Linked DNA regions of Sus scrofa. The protein of the gene in region 1 purifies or fractionates together with the protein of each later gene. This does not show direct contact. Links are inferred from orthologs where the notes say so. Each region holds a gene or a part of one and is shown in the gene's direction. Other genes may lie near its edges. The genes, in order: CASP8, SQSTM1, TNFAIP3, tumor necrosis factor receptor superfamily member 10B-like, baculoviral IAP repeat-containing protein 2 and tumor necrosis factor receptor superfamily member 10B-like.

Region 1 (2,660 bases):
TAAGTATGTAGAAAACAAAGCAATGAAAAATAAAGCAATTGCTAATTCCAGGAAAGACAAAAAAAAATTAATAAGAAAGGATGCATAATTTAAGAATATTGTGTGTACATAGTAGTAGCAATATTTCTATTGCTTTCAGTAGAAGCTGTGAATGTATAAGAGCACCAAGTGCTCATCACCCACAGTGGGAACTCAAAAGTCTAAAATTTATAGATGAATAAATAACAATGTACCCAAATTCATTACAAAATGGAGGCTAACACTAAAAAAAAAAAAAAAAAAAGTAGTTAAAAGTTGAAAGTGGCTGCCTTCATACTAATGACTAGACAGAACATGACCAAGTAATAGGGAGGAGTAGAGAGGGGACGGCTGTTTTTTTTGGGTAATGACTTTTAGTTCTACTTGACTTTTTAAACATTCATATCTTGTATTTTGATGAACAGTTTTGAGAAGGTTTAGGATAAAATAAGTATGGATCTTTTATCCAGGAAAAGTTATTTGCACCTTATTTCTGATTATGCAAGTAATACAGTTAGATTTTAGACTGGTTATGTTGTAAGCCTAAATAATAGCTTACCCATCTTGTACACTAGTTGAGAAAAGACAACAGGCCAGTAATAGCACTCTCCCCTTTCTCATTTGCCTCAGGACTGGAAATGTTTGCAGCTAGTGGCAGTAAACACTAAAAGCTGTGGAGTTCCCTGGTGGCTCAGGGGGTTAAGGATGTGGTGCTGTCACAGCTGTGGCTCAGGTCGCTGCTGTGGTGTAGGTTCAGTCCCTGGCCTGGGAACTTCTACATGCTGAGGATATGGCCAAAAAATAAAGTGAATGGAATCCAGCTACTAACATAGACAGGTTTATTCTTTTGTTGTTGTTGTTGTCTTTTTGCCTTTTCTGGGGCCGCACCTGCAGCATATGGAGGTTCCCAGGCTAAGGGGTCTAATCGGAGCTATAGCTGCCGGCCTACGCCCGAGCCACAGCAACGCTGGATCCTTAACCCACTGAGCAAGGCCAGGGATCGAATCCGCAACCTCACGGTTCCTAGTTGGATTTGTTAACCACTGAACCATGATGGGAACTCCAGACAGGTTTGTTCTTCAGTTTTCATTCAAATTCTTATCTGATCAATGTTCTCGCTAGTTTTGGGTTATGGTCTGGGAACTATTGTGGTGTAATGTGACTTTTCTTGTTTCACTTTTCAGCGGCTCTGAGCAAGACCTTTAGTGATCTTCATTTTGAAGTAAGGCCTTACAAAGATGTCACAGCAAAGGAAATCTGTGATGTTCTGGAATACTACCGAAACTTGGACCATAATGACAAAGACTGCTTTGTCTGCTGCATCCTCTCCCATGGAGACAAGGGCATCATCTACGGCTCTGATGGGAGGGAAGCCCCCATCTATGATCTGACCTCTTATTTCACTGGTTCGAAGTGCCCTTCCCTTCTTGGTAAACCCAAAATTTTTTTCATTCAGGCTTGTCAAGGGGATAAATACCAGAAAGGTATAGCTATTGAGACAGACTCAGAACAGACAGAAGCCTATTTAGAAATGGATTCATCACTTCAGAAGAGATATATCCCAGACGAGGCGGACTTCCTGCTGGGGATGGCCACTGTGAACAACTGTGTTTCTTACCGAAGCACCATGGAGGGGACCTGGTATATCCAATCACTGTGCCAGAGCCTGAAAGAAAGATGTCCCAGGTAATTTTTGTTTCTTCAAACTTGCATTCATCTCGAAGTATCTGGCTGTGGATCGCCTAGCTGTAATTCTCAGGTCAGTTGCGATGGGGGAGAGACGGCAAGTGTGAGCATCTTGAGTTGACCGATAGAAAAAACTGAGATACTTCCTGAGGAGTTTCTTCTATTTAGGACCTCATACGACAATCAGGGTGTCATAGCGTTGGCCACGTCGTAAAGTCATGGAGTCCAGCTCTATCTCTAGGCAGAAACATGACTGAACCGACTCAACTAGTTGGGAAGGCTTCCAAGAAGGCAGTAGCCCATTTCAACGTTCAACCTCCTCCAACCCTGTCAAAGCTCTTTAATAGCTAACCAACCTCAAACCCTCTTGTGGAAAGTAAGTGCCAAAGAGGAGAAACCTTTTATATTCCCACGAATTTGGCCGGATTTGAAGCCACACAAAATGTGGGAAAATATCTTTCCCTCATTTATTGCAGCTGATGTTTCCTTTAGCTAAATGATGGTTTTGTGTGGCACAGCTCACCAAATGCACACACACACACACAACCAGCAGATAAGTAGCAAGGAATCTTCCGCAGGTTGTTTCTAGTTCTACGTCTCATTATGTTATAAGTGTATGAAGAGCAAGAATTGCCCATGGCAGATAAAGGACTGAACCAGAACATCCCCGCTACATTTTCGTTTTGCAACAGACCAGGAATCCTGCGAGGTTCCAGGAGGCTAGCAACAGAAGTGAATGAACAGGTTGCCCAACTAAGCTGTTAAGAGAGGATAGTGAGGAGTTCCCGTCGTGGCGCAGTGGTTAACGAATCCGACTAGGAACCATGAGGTTGCGGGTTCGATCCCTGGCCTTGCTCAGTGGGTTAAGGATCCGGCGTTGCCGTGAGCTGTGGTGTAGGTTGCAGAAGAGGCTCGGATCCCGCATTGCTGTAGCTGTGGTGTAGGCCGGTGGCTAC
Region 2 (4,244 bases), on another chromosome or scaffold:
GAGGAACAAGCCACATCTGTGGCTAGGTTCCTGCTGTGATTCCACAAGCAAGTCAGCAAACTAGCCAAACCCAATCTACCTTCCCCATGGTCTCTGGGTTTCCCATTCCCTTAAGGTTTTTTGTTTGTTTGTTTGTTTTTGTCTTTTTAGGACTGCACCTGAGGCATATGGAGATTCCCAAGCTAGGGGTCGAATCAGAGCCGTAGCCGCTGGCCTCCACCACAGCCGCAGCAACCCAGGATCTGAGGCTAGTCTGCAATTTACACCATAGCTCAGGGCAACACCAGATTGTTAACCCACTGAGCAAGGCCAGGGATCAAACCTGCGTCCTCATGATGCTAGTCAGATTTGTTTCCGCTGAGCCACGATGGGAACTCCCATCCCTTTAAGTTTTACTGACTTCCACAAACCCCACCATGAAAAAAGTGAGTGTGACTCAGCAGGTCTGACTTTCTACCTACAGAGCCCTACTTGGGAGGATTCATAGGGTGACATACCCGCCTGCTTACCTTCTTCTAAGGCACCTCCTCCCCCAACAACCCCCTTCCCCTAGGCACTTTGAACAGGTCACTTCGGTTACATAAAAGAGTGTTTCTTGGCTCCTGGGGGTGGGGTAGGGTGGGGGCTGTTGATGTAATCCCTGGGCTGCCCATGAGGCCAACAGACCTGAGATCTTTCAGGCCATTGGGCACCATTTGCTGAGCTGAACCTTGAGCTGACAAGTGGGGATGGATGGGGAGTACCGATGGGGAGTCCTTAGGGCTTCAGTGAACATTTGGTGGCCACTGAGGCTCCAGGAAGCCTTAGCAGACCCCCCAGCAAGGTGGGGATGGGAAGATCCTGTGCTCTTCTGGCATCTCTCAACCCTACCCCCTATTAAACTGGAAGCTCCTCTGGTGCTCAGGTTTGAGTTGAGTGTCTGTGCTTTAACCCAGTAAAGGGCCATTAGGGGGGATGCTGGGGGCGGCGTAGTGGGCTGCCACCTGAGAAACTGGTGGCAAGAGCGGGCCCTTGACAAGAGTGGCAAGGTCAAGACAGCGCCTCGGGAGCCAATTTGTTGTAGCTAGCAGTGTCAGCAGTGTCCCCTCTTCCTGGCTTCCAGCCTCTGTTGCCCACCTCCCTCCTGAGCTGTGCATCCCCGGTGGCCTGGGTTCCGTTTTGCTGAGTCACGGCCTGGTCAGGCCTGGGAGGGGTCTAGGGCGGGACCCTGGCCGGTCCCTTGCCCCAGGTATAGAGGTAGGCGCCAGACTTAGATGTCAGCGTGCGGGGCCGGCCTCTTGGTGTCCCTGGTGCACTTGGGGCGGTGAGGAGAGGGGTCGGGAATGAGGGGGCTCAACGGCGGGGAGAGGTAGCGAGGCTGGGGCTCCTGTAGGGCGGCTCTCGCGCGACGGCCGGGGTGGCTGGAGCCAGACCTCTGACACTCAGGCCCCGCCCCCAGGAAGCGATGAGGGGCGGGGCTTCACCCGCGTTCCCTACAAAGGCCGCGCGTCCCCTCCCGCTGCCGCCGCCGCCGCCGCTACCACCGCCGGGCTCTTCTCTTGCTCCCCAACTGGTGGTCATGGCGTCGCTCACCGTGAAGGCCTACCTTCTGGGCAAGGAGGATGCGGCCCGCGAGATTCGCCGCTTCAGCTTCTGTTTCAGCCCGGAGCCCGAGGCGGAAGCCGAGGCCGCGGCTGGCCCCGGACCTTGCGAGCGGCTGTTGAGCCGGGTGGCCGCCCTGTTCCCCGTGCTACGGCCCGGCGGCTTCCAGGCGCACTACCGCGGTGAGCAGGCCGGGCGCTCTCGGGGAGCGGTGCGGGGCCGTGACGCAGTGCTGCCCTGCCGGGCAGGGTCGCTGCTCCCTTCCTTCTCGTGGGGCTTGGGGCCGCCTGCGGGAGTTTGATCGCTCGTTGGGTGGGCGGTGGCCCGCGTGGGTTCCCATTTCGGCCTTGGGTGCCATTCTGGTAGCCAGGAGTGGTGACCACAGCCAGACCTGTGGGGTCAGGCGCTGCCAGTCCCCTAGCGGATCGGGCCCGGCGACGTAAGAGGCCTCCCCTCCCCCCACCATGATGGTGCAGATCTTGGGGAGGGCGCGCGGGGGCGTCCTCACGGCGGGCACGGGGTGGTTAGAGGGGCACTCGGGTTACACTGCCACTTGGCTACTGCCCAGCTGGGGCCCGCTAGCCCCAGATGGGGGGTTCGGATAGTAACCCGGAAGAGCCTGGGCGGGCAGATGAGGGGGAAGGGCTGGCTACGCAGAAAAGTGACGAGGGTAAATAAGCAGTGGGGAGCCCTCAGGGCTGCACAGTCTGGCCGGAGGTGGGGAGGAGAGACCATAGGTTGCCCAAGGCCAGGCGGGATCCAGACGTTATCCCGTTGGCAGCGGACAGAGGGACAAGGTGAAAACATTCTCGAGAAGTGTTGGTGTAGGGACAGAGCTCACGAGCCTGCCTAGTTTCTAGCTGAGCTGGCGTGACCGGTGGCTGCGCGGGGTGGAGTTGGGGGAGGTTGTTGTGACTGGGAGGGAGGCGGGCGGACCAGGCCCGCCGGTGGGTGGGGCCGTGCCGGGACCTCCCTCAGGACTGCTGCCAGCTCGCCAGCCCCTAGCTTTTTCAAAAAAATAACTTTGAGTTCCTGTTCACATACTGTAGTTTAAAGTGTTGAGTTTTTAGTATATTCACAGATTTGCGCAGCCATTATCACAATCATCTGGGAACATTTTCATCACTTTATACACCAACTCTGTTAGCTTCCTCCCATCCCCATCATCCTATCCTCCAATCCCCAAGCGACCCCTAATCTCTATGGATTCCCCTATTCTGGACATTTCATGTAAAAATATGTAGTCTTGTAACTGGCATCTCTTATTTACATACTATTTTCAAGGTTTACTTATGTTGTAGTATGTATCAGTACTTAATTCCTTTTTGTGGATGAATAATATTGTCTTATGGTCATGCCACATCTTGTTTAGCCATTCATTAGCTGATGGGTGTTTAGGTTGTTTCTGCCTTTTTTTTTTTTTTTTTTTTTTGTCTTTAGGGTCACACCGGAGGCATATGGAAGTTCCCAGGCTGAGGGTTGAATCAGAGCTGCAGCTGCCGGCCTACGCCACAGCCACAGCAACACCAGATCTGAGCTGTGTCTGCCACTTACACCACAGCTCATGGCAACGCCAGATCCTTAACCCACTGAGCGAGGCCAGGGATTGAACCCACATCCTCATGGATACTAGTCGGGTTTATTTCTGCTGAGCCACAACGGGAACTCCCTATTTCTGCTTTTTGACACAGTCCCTGATTTTATGGTAGATGTTGTGTTTGGTGGTCCATAGACCTGACCTGGCTTGCACATGTATTGTGTGGTTGGTTCTGTGTGGTGGTGCTTTAAATCATTTCAGCTGACATCTAAAAGTTGGAGGCTTCATACAAAGACATAATTTTAGCTTCGTTGGGGAGGAAGCAGGAAGATATATTCTACTTTCCTAAGCCACAAGAGGTCCAAGAATTTTGGAGGGGCTGGAACGCCAAGGAGCCAGTTGCAGATGGGGACCTCCCACAGTTGACAGGGTCTGGTTGGATGTAGATGGAGACAGCACCTTTCTGACAGAGCAGCTGGCCCAGAGGCAGAGTGGCAGGTGGCTGGGTGCTACCACTGCTGCCCACTGCACACAGGCACTCCACCTCCCAAGTGTGCCTGGGCCCAGCTTGGAGTGCTCACCTTCCAGGCAGTGGCAGGGTGAATGAGAAGTTCGGCCCCAGCCCTGCTTGCCCCTGGCTCACCCAGGTGGGCGTCAGTTTATAGCCCTGCACAGGCCCCTTTGGCACTGGCCTCAGTCCTTTCAGCAGCTTGTGTCCAACTGGGTGTTGATGCGCTGTCTTTTAAACATTCTAGATGAGGACGGGGACTTGGTTGCCTTTTCCAGTGACGAGGAACTGACGATGGCGATGTCGTATGTGAAGGATGACATCTTCCGTATTTACATTAAAGGTAAGGGGCTGCTCTGTGCTGAGTCAAACCAGCTTGAGGTCATGGAGAAGTTGCTCCAAAGAAGGGGTGAGGAGACTATGGGCCGTTTAAGGCAGGGCCGGGATCGTCTCTGAGGAAGGGTCCGTGTCCACCATGGTGGGGAGGTCAGAGGGTCTTTGGGTTCCCTCTTTATTGTGCCTGCGGGCCAGCTTTGGGGTTGATTTTAGTGCCGGACAAGTCTAAAATGGTGCAGACGCAACTCCCTGCTGCCTCACGCCGGCCAGGCTGCACATGCC
Region 3 (3,500 bases), on another chromosome or scaffold:
CATCTGAGGGTTGGTACCTGGAGGACGATAATAAAATTTGGTTGGCAGTTGAGTTGATGTAATTGAGCTCCACTATCTGCTCTTGGCAGTGTGGAATTTATCATTCTATTATTGCCATATTGTTATTATTAATTTCTTATTCTGATGTTGTAAAGTTCAATGGAGGGGTTCTGAAAGATGGCTGATGGCTCGTAAAATTGCAAAGCATCTTGCTGGAAATAGGCTTTTTTGTTGGTTGTAAAACATTCAGTTTAATGCTTTGTATGTTATAGTACATTTTATAAGTAAGCACTTTATAAGTATTTCTCTTTGGGACTGAAGAGGAAATTCTAATCAGCAGCCTAGGTGGCAGCATAAAATTGCAGGACTTTTTACAAAATATTTACTGCCTTTTGCAGTGGGGAGGTGGGGATGCGCTTAAAAGAGGCAAAGCAAGACTTTGCCTAAGAGCAGGGTTGCTTGGTGGTGCTCTTAGGAGAGAAAACAGGCTCGTCAGGACTCCGTTGTGCCTGTAACTGCATTCAGGGCTCCTAAAATCCAGTGGCTGCCCCAGAGCAGCATCGAAGTGAGATGGGAGCTTGGGTTGGTCACTAGACACAGTACCTGTTGCTGACAGACAGGCTTGGCTCCCTGACAGACGTTACTGAAAACACGGGTTATTCCCCTCCTCCTCAGTACCCACTCCCCGCCTTCCTTCTCTTGTTTAGACTAATCTTTAAAAGTGATGTAACTTACAACAGTCCAGTGTGAGTTAATCTGTGGGGCCAGCTAGTATCCTGGGAGCAGAGGTGACTAAGATCTTTTGCCTCTTGATTAGGGTAATGACAAGATCAAACACTGGGGTTTCCTGCAGGCAGGTATATAGGAGCCCTATCAAAGTCGAGCTAACGGAATGGGGTTTTCTTTCCCTCCTCTTCAGGCCTTGTAGAGCACCATGGCTGAGCAACTCCTTCCCCTGGCTTTGTATTTGAGCAACATGCGGAAGGCTGTGAAGATAAGAGAGAGAACTCCAGAAGATATTTTCAAACCTACCAATGGAATCATTCACCATTTTAAATCCATGCACCGATACACTCTGGAAATGTTCAGAACCTGCCAGTTTTGTCCGCAATTTCGGGAGATCATCCACAAAGCTCTCATCGACAGGAACATCCAGGCCTCCCTGGAAAGCCAGAAGAAGCTCAACTGGTGTCGAGAAGTGAGGAAGCTTGTGGCACTGAAAACGAATGGTAAGACTTGCTTTTGTCAGTGGGGTGGCTCCCAGGATGCAGGGTCCCATTCATTAAAAGGTGGTAGCTCTTATTTGAACCCAAGCTCAAATCTCTTGAGGCCATAGATAACCTTAGTAGAGAGGCTCTCTGAGGGACGTGTGAGGAAAGCAGGCTTCTTTTGTGAATATTTTAATTAGGGATATTTTCTAGCTGTGTATGTTAGAGAGCAGAGCTCACTGAGGCTTGGGGACTGCATTTCTAGACACCATCCCCCTATTAAGTATATGCTTATAGTATATATGTACGACTTCTGTATCTAATTCTTGCAACTGTTGAGTCATCTGTAAAAAACAAAATAAAACCCTTCTATTACATTTAGAATAGATAAGCAATGAGGTCCTACTGTATAGCACAGGGAATTATGTCTAGTCTCTTAGGATAGAGCATGATGGAAGATAATGTAAGAAAAGGAGTGTGTGTGTGTGTGTGTGTGTGTGTGTCTGTATGTCACTTTGCTGGACAGCAGAAATTGGCAGAGCATTGTAAATTGACTATACCTTATTTAAAAAAGAAAAAAAACTTTCCCTAGCCAGTAATAGAAAAGGCTTTAAGTTCAAAAGGAAAGCATGGTGTGAAAACTGGTAGTGTTTCCCACAGCTATTAGAAAATGCTTCTGTCGGTGGCCTTATACTTTTTGAATCGGTGGCATTTTATGGGTTAACCAGTGGCTGTTGTTGGCTCCTCCCCTGCCTAGGATTGTTGCCTGTGATCCCTTGATATGAACTAGAAAGATACTTGAGATTTTTAGCCCAGATTTTAGATGTCTCCTTCATTATTTTTAGGGAGTCCTCGTAATGCATTTCTTGCTGTCTGTGACTCTCTGCCCAATGGCCATTTATAACTAGTAGCTGTGTTCCTCTTCTAAGCTTTACTGTTTTGTTTTAATTATTTCCTTTGAACAAGAGTATGTACATCACAGAAACATTCAAGCATGCTGTTTTGGGCAGATACGAATTCTCCTTTATAAAGGTAGCTAATTATTACAGGAAGCAAGTAGACTGCCCTAGACAACTAAATGCTTACAGTCTAGGTAAGGCCAGAAATCTCCTGTCCTTAGCTCAGTGACGTTCCTAAACCATACCAATCAAAATAATGCATTGAAGGGCAAAATAATACACCTTTGTTGACAGTGAAATGATAAGAACATTAAGTTCATTAAGTGACTCGGTACATTAACTTTGGCCATTTTTGGTTGGGTAACTTGGCACGAATGAGGTATGTGTTTTTTTGCTTTGGTTCTGAGGGTCAGGCGCCTTGCCGCATCATCTTGCTTTTATTTTTGAAGCATAGTGGCTTAGAAACATGGATAGAAAGAACACTGGGGCTAGCTAGTGTTTACATTGTTCTTGGCATTAAATCGAGTCATGCTTAGAAGTAGGTAATTATGTTAAGTCACTATCAAGGGGTTTATATTCCTGACAGTTTGTGGTTTTAACTCTCTCCCATTTTATTACAAAAAGAAATGGAGTCCACTTTGGGAGAGTTGGAAACAAAGAGATCCTGTCAAATTAGAAATGTGGTAGAAGGAGAAAAACTGTATTGTCATGAACAGAAATTTTAGGTTTAACTTGCCCTGGTGCCTTCAGGAAGAAAAAAAAAAAAAAGGAATATAAAGAGTAAACACTTGTTTTGCAAAGATAATGTCATTTAGATCAAGGATTCACGCTACAAATAAAACTCCAAAAGCAAATGAATTTAGCTGTCATTTTCTGGGAAATAGGGATTTTTAGGCTCAGAATCCCTGTATTTCCCTACTTTCAAGAAAAGTCCTTAAAATTCTGGAAAAGGATGAAAAGGTATTTAGAGGAGGGAGGGAAACAAATGACTTTTCCTCTCTGATTTTTATGACCACCTTTTTTTTAAGCCCTCCCCCTAGAGGAGGGGTCTACAAAGTCAGTGGTCTGTTTGGGGAGGGGGTGATTCACAAGTTTGCATTTGAGGATATGAGACTGCGGTGAATGAGGAAGGGAGTAGGTGGCATAAAATTGAAACTTCATGTGAAAAATTCCAGCGTCTATTGGCTGCAGCGATTTCACTTGTCTAATGAGTAGCCCTATTCCAGCTCACTCTGACCACGCCCACTTGGAAAGTCCAGGGTGCACTTCGCAGTTTAAATGTCTACACACCAGAACAAAAAGTACAATAGCTGTTGCTCAATTGCTAGTCAAATAACTTAGCGCTGGGGAATTCCAGATGTTACTTAGGGAATTTTATGCTGGTGCATCTCAA
Region 4 (2,455 bases), on another chromosome or scaffold:
TTAGTATAACTTGTTAACATTTTACGTTTTCCAGCGTAGCTGTGAGAGAATATGAACTTCCTTCAGCGGCCACCTTAGGTACCTATGCACAGTGGTGTGCACTGCGTTGCACACGCTTGCCCTGCATCCCCAGTACAGTCCCACGAGGCGGGCGGCCTCGGCTCCACCTCACATGTTAGCGTCTGTTTGTCCCCATCCAGCTCAGGAAGGCCGAGCTGAGTGTGAAGCCAGAGACCTTCCAAGCTCCAGGCCTTGCTGGGGCCCCAGTGCAGCTGGGGGCCCTGAGTCTCACGAGAGGGGCAGGTGCCACCCTGAGTCTCCTGAGAGGGGCAGGTGGCCCCCTCTGCCTCCTGCCACTACTGCCTTCTCCCTCCATGACGTCCGTTTCCCCTCCCCGGTGGGCCCTTCTCCCTCACTTAGGACAGGATTCTCTGGTGACCTTGACTCCCTACGGTGTCCTGGGGACATAGGGGGCCCAGGCAGCGTGTGGCCTGATTTCTCTGTGGCTGGGAAGCAGGTCAGGGATGCAGAGCAGCAGCTGCCTCAGCAGGGGGAGCTCTTCAGGTCCCGCCCTGGGGTCCAGGCCTGCCCGAGGGTCCTCTGCCCTTTCTGAAGCTGGTCCCAACCTTCTCTCTGTGACTTTCCCCCAACCTAGGCTTGAGGCAGTGCTTTGATGACTTTTCCAACATCGTGCCTTGTGATTGCTGGGACAAACTCATGAGAAAGATGGGCCTCAACCAAAATGAGATCCTTCAGAGCAGAGATCGCGCCCGGAACACCGGGGATGCCTTGTATGAGATGCTGGAGACCTGGGTCCGCCGCAAAGGGCGGGAGGCCTCAGTCAACGACCTCCTCGATGCCTTGGAAGCACTGGGGCAAAGATCCGCAAAGGAGGAAATTGAGGACAAGCTTGTGGACTCAGGAAAATTCGTCTTCAAAGAAAGTGAAGCTGGTGCTGCTGTGTCCTGAGTGTAAAAGGATCTCTTTATGAAACCACAGCTTCCCTACTTTATGTTTTTTGCTGGAAAGGGAAGCATGATTAGATACCAGCTTGAAAGAAACATCAGGTACTTGGACCAAATACTTGAATGAAGTCTACCTTCGGATATATGCCACACTTGTAAAGTTCTAGAACTTTTTGGTTAAACTAGAGTAATTTTTGAGAAATGTCATTGATAAGCGATGGTGGAAACATTTATGAATATGTGCGTGAATTTACTGAGAGCTGATTTAGGATATCATTCTGTTCAGGACACTCTTATCCTAACAGAATTGCACTTTTTACTTGTACTTTTTATAATGTGAGTTCCATTTGGATTGATATGCTTATTCTTAATTGTCTAACTGTACTATGATATTTTATGATATACATTTGTCTATTTTTATATTTTTGTACGTATTTGTATAAATGCACAAAACTTTTTGGAAATGCACTTACTCGGTTGCCTGCATGAGTTCCTAAAATAGGAGCAAGCAACAATAACAAAAGAAACCCAAAGAAGGAAGAGGAAAAAGCCCATCGCTTTAGGAGGCATCATTGAGTTCAGTTCTCCCTCATATGGGAGTTTAACTTGTCTAGGAGTAGATAACCAACTTTTAAAGTGTCCATCATTTCCAACTGATTATTTTATAGATATGGGATTATTTATATTATTTATTGGTAAATGTTTACAAATGAGCAGAGAGTGGGTCTGTTATACACAGGCTTTATTATGTTGAGGTATGTTTCTTCTATGTCCATTTAGCAGAGAGCTTTTTAAATTATCATTATAAATGGATGTTGAATTTTGTCACAATCTTCTGCATCTGTTTTGATGATCATATGGTTTTTATGCTTCAGTTTGCTGATGTGCTATACTATATGGGTTGATTCGCAGATATTGGAAAAATCCTTGCATTCCTGGGATAAATCCCACGTAATCATGGTATAGATTCTTTTGATGTATTGCTGGATTTGGTTTGCTGATATTTTGTTGAGGAGTTTTGCACATATGTTCATCGGTGATATTGGATGGCAATTTTCTCTTTTCGATGATATCTTCGTCTGGATTTGGTATCAGTTTGATGCTGGCCTCGTAGAATGAGTTCAGAAGTGTTCCTTCCTCTACAATTCTCTGGGATATTTTGAGAAAGATAGGTGTTAATTCTCACGATGTTTGGTGGAATTATTCTGTGAAGGCTCGTTGGGGTTTTTTTTTTATTATTTGGTTTGTGGGTTTATTATTATCATTGTTATTATTACTGATTCAATTTTGGCTGGTCCCAGAAGAGGGTCTGAGAACAGTTTGGGGCCACAGCCTGTAGGATTGTGAGGTTTTTTGCACTTAGTGTCTGCCCCCTGCCCTCTGGAGGCTGTCCAGAGGCTGGTGTAGGCTTCCTGGAGGGCAGGGCCTGTGCCTGCCCACTGGGGAGTAGAGCTGGGTCTTGGCCTGCTGGTGGGTAGTGCCAAGGCTTG
Region 5 (3,929 bases), on another chromosome or scaffold:
AGAAGCCCTCCTGTTCTGTTACTGACTGGCAGGCAGAAATGACGGGGAGGAAATGGGAAATGGTTCAGGGTCTCGGAATTCCCCTGGCTGCCTAATTAAGTGGCTTGTTATTTGGAAGTTTTTTTTGAAATATTTGCCCCCTGGAGTTCCCCTGAGAGAAGAAAGCATCCGATATCATTGACAATGAGTGTCTTCACAGAACATAAATTAAAAAATTCTCCTGCCGCCATTCAACTAATACTGCATGCAACTGTCTGTCTTCACCCCATTGCTAAAGAGGGGGCTGGAAAACGTCCCTGACTAGTAAAGGTAGTATTTTGTATTTACAATTTTTTTCTGACAGTTAACTTTTAAAATGTGATGGACAAATGGGCTCCTTTATGGTTCGTGTACGATTTACATATACACACATCTACATAAATGTATATATTCCGTTCTAGCCACATTCAGAAAAAAGGGGGAGTGAAGCCTGGCCTGAAACACCGTGTTCACTTTGCTAGTGATGAAAATAGGACACTTTTCGTTAATGCATTCGTCTCCAGAAGAGAAAAACAGAAAAGATAGTGATTATATAATAGATATGCCCCCCAACATTATAGAATCAAGGCTTCAAAATTAATCTGAGGCTGTTCTGCTTTCCAACACTTGGCTTTTTTCCCATCCCCAGGGCCAGCTGTGGAAGGTTGACGCCAGGCAGCTGCAAAGGGGAAATGGTTACAGCTGTTTACTTAGTTGCAGCCGAAACGCCTCCGGGCTGACTCCACCCTCAAACGCCGTCATCCACGCCGAGGGGAGGGTCCCATTGGAGGAATCCGGCCGGGAACTAATCCCGGCGAGTCGACGTGGGGAGAGGTTCGCCACCCGCGCCCGGGCGTTTCCCCAGGGCTTCCAAAGATTCAAACTCGACGGCTCTCGCCACGTCCCGCTCAGGAGGATGAGAGGGACAGCGAGGGAAAGTGCTCTCGCAGCGAGATTGAAGATTAGCACACCAAGCTCACGCCCAGCCCTGCCTTCCCCTGAGGGCTGACCGCGCGCTGGGTCCCGCTCTCCGCCCACAGACTCCGGGGCGCCCTCGCAGAGGGAGTGACGCGCACCCGGTCGGCGCGCTGACGTCATCGTGCGTCTGCGTGGGCCCTGAGCGGGCGGGGGGGGCCCCAGGAGCTCTAACTGCGCAGCCCAGCCGGCAGTTCAGCCCGCGTCGTTGCTCCCGGGACTGTGGAGGCTCCTGGTGGCACTGCTGTTTCGTGTTGGACGCGTCTGCCCTGTGGTGAGTGCAGGTCCTTCCGGACCCAGGCCTCGCGGGGCTGGGTCGGGGCGCGCAGGCCGCGGGGCCTGCCTTCCCCGAGACTGCAGTTGGGCTGGGGAGGACAGGGCCGGGAGTCGGGGGTCGCAGGTAGCAGTTAGCTCTTTGCTACTCTACTGTCGAAGATGCTTTTGTTTAATTCGGAAGCTCCAGTTCCAAGACATGCTGTCGAAAATAATTTTTTTAATTGACCTGTTTACAAGTCTACTCTGGCCGCTTCTCACTTTTCTGGCCCTTGGCCTTTGGCCAAGATGTTTTAAGAGTTTTTGCAGGGTTTTAAACTTAACCCTCGGTATTCCTTTATTTAATATATTCAAACGGAGACAGTAACGTATCGGCGAGATCTCTTGTTTCAGATAGGTACAACCCCGCTTTGCCACTTTAGTATTCTATTGTATATTGCGAGAAATAACTCGGGGAAATTAATAAAATTCCATAATTTCTCTTCTTTTTCCTTGCAGTCTGTCTCCTTCCCCTTCCCCCCAGCCACAGTTTGCCTAAAGAGGGCAAATCCTGTACAGTTCCTGCAGATTAAAAATATGCAAAGATAGGACCTCAAGTCCTTGTGTAACGGAGGCATTCATTCAAGCGGTCACATTCCCAAGGCCAGTGTTTCATAGGCCATTGTGCTGTGTTTTGTTTTGTGAGTTGCTTTCTGCGAATTGTTGCTTTGGAATTGTGAAGGCATTGTATTCACGAGTTCCTGGTGAATTTTAACTCTTAGTAGTTTTTTTGCCTAGTTCTGGAGAGACTTGACATTAAGAAATAACGTTATTGTCTGGATAACTGCTGTACTGTTGATGATGGGTGCAGTCTATTTTTCACCCTCCCTTTTTACCGCTAGCAAATTGCCATAGATAATTATCCTTAAACTAAATTATAAGTTGTCACCAGAAGAGGGGAGGAGGAGTTCCCGTTGTGGTGCAGTGGAAACGAATCCAACTAGGAACCATGAGGTTGTGGGTTCGATCCCTGGCCTTGCTCAGTGGGTTAAGGAGGTCTCAGACGCGGCTCGGATCTGATGTTGCTGTGGCTGTGGTGTAGGCCGGCAACTATAGCTCTGATTGGACCCCTAGTCTGGGAACCTCCTTATGCCCCGGGTGGCCCTAAAAAGCGCGCGCACACACACACACACACACACACACACACACACACACACAAGAAGAAGAATAGGGGAGGAGACCAGGGGCGAAGTATTTTACTATGTCCATCTGTCTTCAAAGTAGTACATAAAAAAAAAAAAATGTGTACTTATTGCTAAGGGGAGTATACTGCATTTATTTTAAAAGGCTTTGCAATTAATTTTGGTGACAAATTGCTGGAATTAAGATGTATTATTTAGGAGTTCCCGTCGTGGCGCAGTGGTTAACGAATCCGACTAGGAACCATGAGGTTGCGGGTTCGTCCCTGCCCTTGCTCAGTGGGTTAACGATCCGGCGTTGCCGTGAGCTGTGGTGTAGGTTGCAGACGCGGCTCGGATCCTGCGTTGCTGTGGCTCTGGCGTAGGCTGGTGGCTACAGCTCCGATTCAACCCCTAGCCTGGGAACCTCCATATGCTGCGGGAGCGGCCCAGAAATAGCAACAACGACAAAAGACAAAAAAAAAAAAAAAAAAAAAAAAGATGCATTATTTAAAGTATAAGTCACTTTTAGAATTTACTGAATAAATTGAGAAAATTATAAACTGTATTTACTGTGAGAATATGGTTTTCTAAAATAGCTTTTGTTTTTTCTTTTCAGATTTACAGTCCTGAAGAGTCTACTTTTGCCCTCTCATTTTTTCCCATTGAAGTAATAAATCCAGTTGTGGAGACTCAGAAACTTTATGAAGGGATATAGTTTGCATTCTGTGCAATGTAATTTTGTGTATGAATTATATTTTTAATTTATGAAGGGTTTTCAGAAAGAAGGCTAGTAGGGTTAATTATTGGTACATTACGCATGAATAGTGATTCTGTTGATAATGCAGTATCTTCTTAGGCTTATGTGTTAACACTAGAAAGGACAAACTGTATCTTGATAAATATTTACCTTTAATTACAAAATGAGTAATATACATGCATGATTCTTAAACAAAAAAAGTTAATTTTTTAAGAAAGTTTCTCCTGTGAAAATTTTATGGTTAACTAGTTAAATTTATGGAGAAAATACCCTCAATTGATCAAGTGTAATAAACTGTTTGCAAAGTTAGGAAGAAAAACAACATAATGATGCTGCAGGTAATGGAAACAAATATAGACAATATTTAACAAAGATGGAAGAGTTATCAGTTTTTGAAGGAAGCAGAATTCATTTCCTTTGACATCACACAGGCTTCAAGAAAGCTAGTAGGTATTGACATCCCCGAAAGTTGTTAGCTGAAGCTAATTTAACCTTCTTAAGTAAATACTGCGTTGGTAAACTGTGAAATTAGCTTTTAGATAATGCGACCATATGGAGACTTTAATTCTTTTTTACTAGAATAAAAGATTTTTTAAAGTATCATACTAAAGTGCTGGTAGGGAAAGAAGCCTGCATTTAGTTTTTTTCCTCTTGTAGAATAATAATTAATTGGCTTTATAACCAGGCTTTGTAACTTATAACCAAAGGCAAATTAAAGGCATAATTTAGGTATTCTATGCTTGTTT
Region 6 (2,799 bases), on another chromosome or scaffold:
GGGATGCAGAGCAGCAGCTGCCTCAGCAGGGGGAGCTCTTCAGGTCCCGCCCTGGGGTCCAGGCCTGCCCGAGGGTCCTCTGCCCTTTCTGAAGCTGGTCCCAACCTTCTCTCTGTGACTTTCCCCCAACCTAGGCTTGAGGCAGTTCTTTGATGACTTTTCCAACATCGTGCCTTGTGATTGCTGGGACAAACTCATGAGAAAGATGGACCTCACCCAAAATGACATCCTTCAGAGCAGAGATCGCGCTCGGAACACCGGGGATGCCTTGTATGAGATGCTGGAGACCTGGGTCCGCCGCAAAGGGCGGGAGGCCTCAGTCAACGACCTCCTCGATGCCTTGGAAGCACTGGGGCAAAGATACGCAAAGGAGAAAATTGAGGACACGCTGGTGGGCTCAAGAAAGTTCGTCTTCAAAGAAGGTGAAGCTGGTGCTGCTGTGTCCTGAGTGTTTGAGGACCTCATCTTCCAGTTCTGGACACGTTTTTTATCCAAATGGACTTGCTCTTTTTACTCTCATGTATTACAATAGAATCTATGTTTTGTTGGGGAGGGGGTGTAATCTGTAATACTGTTTGTTGTATGACTTTCTGCTATTTATTGTTTTTTGCGGTTTTTTTGCTGTCTTAGGACCGCACCTAAGGCCTGTGGAGGTTCCCAGGCTAGGGGTCGAATCGGAGCTGTAGCCGCTGGCCTACGCCAGAGCCACAGCCACTTGGGATCTGAGCTGCATCTGCGACCTACACCACAGCTCACGGCAGCGCCGGATCCTTAACCCACTGAGTGAGGCCGGGGGTCGAACCCGCAACCTCATGGATCCTAAGTCAGGTTCATTAACCACTGAGCCACAAAGGGAACTCCTGCTTCTATGTTTTTTATATGTATTTATAGTAGCCTAGAAAAGATTCTGTGAAATAACACTGGGTTGTTTACATGGGTTGCCTTTTTGAGAGGTGCGAAGCCACAATGATTGGGTGTCACAAGTAATGGCAGAAGAGAGCCCAGCACCGCTGTGGGGAGCACTGGAGGAATCCACTCTCCTTCAAAGGCAGTCTCGCACTCTTGGATACCTGGTGACCTCTGTGGTGCCCACTCTTTTATACCTGAAAATCTCATAGGTGTGTGACTATTTCTTTTATTTACCGGTGGGCGTTTACAAGTCAGCAGAGCGTGACGAGACGTGGCATCCCTGCACAGCCCTGTGTCTGGTGTCTGTGAGCTGGGCTGTCAGGCGTGGGCCTCCGCCGGTTCTTCGTTGGACCTCGGTGCTGAGGGTGGGATGCAGGTTGGGTGCAGATGTTAAGTGACATGGGCGTCTTGCGTCTGATCTTGTTAGTGAAGCTTCGGCTCCCTCTGGGTTCCCGGGAGGGAGGGGAGGGATCTGGTCCCAGTGTCTGCCGTGGTCTCAGGGAGGAAGTGCAGTTGGTGGTGGTGGACTGTGTTCAGTGTGGGCTGACTCGGCACTAGATGGGCACTCGCGGTCCGGGTGCTCTGATCTGAGCCTCAGAACTGCCTTTTGCGGTCTGAGTTGGCTACTCGGGCATCTCAACCTCTTCGTAAGCTTTGGCCTCCTGCAGAAACAGACTCACACAGACATGCCAATTCCTAAACACTGTAGGCATTGGCCTAAAATGGCTGATGTGTTGGGGTTCTGTCCTTTCATTCCTTTTTTTTGTTTGTTTGTTTGTTTTAAAGCCTTCCATTAAAACCCTTCTTTGTAGGCGTCCAGTTACTGCAGGATGATCTTATGGAGGAAGGGCCACTCAGGAGTTGTGGTCTTTTCCGTCTCAAGACTCTGTGTGTTGCCTTCCCCAAAGCTGATGTGGCCAAAGATGGAATTGCCTGACATTTAGGCACGTTCAGGGTATGGTGTCGGGAGTCAACTGGAGTGTTTTGGAAGGGCTGCCCCCCATGGTCCTGCTGTTATAAGCAAGCCCTCTGGCCCCTTCTTTCCGGATATCTGGCCCTTCTCTCAGAGGATTTCTGTGAGTGCCCTTCTAAAGTATTAGTCTTATCAGTGTTTGTCATATCCCTTCACATATTTATTGTGTCTTTTACCAGTGAAAACCTTCTAGAGATATGAAGTTGTTTCCTTTATTGCTTCGTGTCAGTGCACGGGAAGTTTTATTTAAAAGTTTTATTTAAAGGTTGGGTTCTGTGCATGTTTCCTCTCCATGGGAAGATCCCTTTTAAGAATTTCTTGGAAACCTTAGACAATGAAAGAAAAGCCACTGGGCACAAAATACCATGTCCTTATGAATTTGTGACCAAATTAAACATGCAATTCTGTATTTAAAAAGGTGTGTGTGTCTTTCTTGGCCATCTTCCCGTCCTCTGGAGCAGCTCGGAGTGACAAGGGTGCAGGGCATGTGTTCTTGCCGTGACCTGCTCCTTCCTTCTTTATGCCTCGGGCTCGGCCCGCAGGGGTTTCTTCTGCTCTGACTCTGGATTTCCCCCTGGAATCCGGCCCCTGCTCCCTCCCTCCCTCCCCTCCCTGCCCTTCCCCTGGCAGAGAGACCTGCGCCTGGCCCGGCCCCCCACAGCCCCCCCCCCCGGTGCTGTCTCTAGGTCACACCTGGGCCTGCAGGGCTCTCGCGAGATGCGCACTGGCTCTGACAGAGCCCTTGGGATGAGGTGGGTCCCTGAGGAGGGGGGCCCTGCTGGCTGGGGTCACTCTGTGACCCTCTCACCTGTGGGCCTCCTGGAACTCCAGGGCCACCTTCCCCTTCCCTCTCTGCTGGCCCCTCTGCCCCCTCATCAGTGGGCCAGGTGGCTCTGCACTGCAACCTCATAGAGACC

Evidence for each region.
Region 2: the proteins of CASP8 (region 1) and SQSTM1 purify together in Homo sapiens (affinity purification with western blotting; 5 studies listed by BioGRID and IntAct, with this or other methods). This does not show direct contact. The link is inferred for Sus scrofa from reciprocal best matches to the Homo sapiens genes CASP8 and SQSTM1.
Region 3: the proteins of CASP8 (region 1) and TNFAIP3 purify together in Homo sapiens (affinity purification with western blotting; 3 studies listed by BioGRID and IntAct, with this or other methods). This does not show direct contact. The link is inferred for Sus scrofa from reciprocal best matches to the Homo sapiens genes CASP8 and TNFAIP3.
Region 4: the proteins of CASP8 (region 1) and tumor necrosis factor receptor superfamily member 10B-like purify together in Homo sapiens (affinity purification with western blotting; 14 studies listed by BioGRID and IntAct, counting the BioPlex papers as one, with this or other methods). This does not show direct contact. The link is inferred for Sus scrofa from reciprocal best matches to the Homo sapiens genes CASP8 and TNFRSF10B.
Region 5: the proteins of CASP8 (region 1) and baculoviral IAP repeat-containing protein 2 purify together in Homo sapiens (affinity purification with western blotting; 4 studies listed by BioGRID and IntAct, with this or other methods). This does not show direct contact. The link is inferred for Sus scrofa from reciprocal best matches to the Homo sapiens genes CASP8 and BIRC2.
Region 6: the proteins of CASP8 (region 1) and tumor necrosis factor receptor superfamily member 10B-like purify together in Homo sapiens (affinity purification with western blotting; 13 studies listed by BioGRID and IntAct, counting the BioPlex papers as one, with this or other methods). This does not show direct contact. The link is inferred for Sus scrofa from reciprocal best matches to the Homo sapiens genes CASP8 and TNFRSF10A.

What each region holds. Positions count from the first base shown.
Region 1 is NC_010457.5:104,943,357-104,946,016, forward strand, and holds part of CASP8 (caspase-8), read left to right. Parts: intron 1-1,202; coding exon 1,203-1,704; intron 1,705-2,660. UniProt on the Homo sapiens protein: Thiol protease that plays a key role in programmed cell death by acting as a molecular switch for apoptosis, necroptosis and pyroptosis, and is required to prevent tissue damage during embryonic development and adulthood.
Region 2 is NC_010444.4:78,761,199-78,765,442, reverse strand, and holds the start of SQSTM1 (sequestosome-1), read left to right. Parts: upstream 1-1,444; coding exon 1,445-1,763; intron 1,764-3,873; coding exon 3,874-3,969; intron 3,970-4,244. UniProt on the Homo sapiens protein: Molecular adapter required for selective macroautophagy (aggrephagy) by acting as a bridge between polyubiquitinated proteins and autophagosomes.
Region 3 is NC_010443.5:26,483,272-26,486,771, reverse strand, and holds part of TNFAIP3 (tumor necrosis factor alpha-induced protein 3), read left to right. Parts: exon of another isoform or gene 1-818; intron 819-919; 5' UTR 920-934; coding exon 935-1,229; intron 1,230-3,500. UniProt on the Homo sapiens protein: Ubiquitin-editing enzyme that contains both ubiquitin ligase and deubiquitinase activities.
Region 4 is NC_010456.5:7,258,544-7,260,998, reverse strand, and holds part of tumor necrosis factor receptor superfamily member 10B-like, read left to right. Parts: exon of another isoform or gene 1-78; intron 79-655; coding exon 656-969; 3' UTR 970-2,455. UniProt on the Homo sapiens protein: Receptor for the cytotoxic ligand TNFSF10/TRAIL. The adapter molecule FADD recruits caspase-8 to the activated receptor.
Region 5 is NC_010451.4:33,040,478-33,044,406, forward strand, and holds the start of baculoviral IAP repeat-containing protein 2, read left to right. Parts: upstream 1-1,129; 5' UTR 1,130-1,267; intron 1,268-1,764; exon of another isoform or gene 1,765-1,946; intron 1,947-3,042; 5' UTR 3,043-3,158; exon of another isoform or gene 3,159-3,929. UniProt on the Homo sapiens protein: Multi-functional protein which regulates not only caspases and apoptosis, but also modulates inflammatory signaling and immunity, mitogenic kinase signaling, and cell proliferation, as well as cell invasion and metastasis.
Region 6 is NC_010456.5:7,344,288-7,347,086, reverse strand, and holds the end of tumor necrosis factor receptor superfamily member 10B-like, read left to right. Parts: intron 1-134; coding exon 135-448; 3' UTR 449-2,299; downstream 2,300-2,799. UniProt on the Homo sapiens protein: Receptor for the cytotoxic ligand TNFSF10/TRAIL. The adapter molecule FADD recruits caspase-8 to the activated receptor.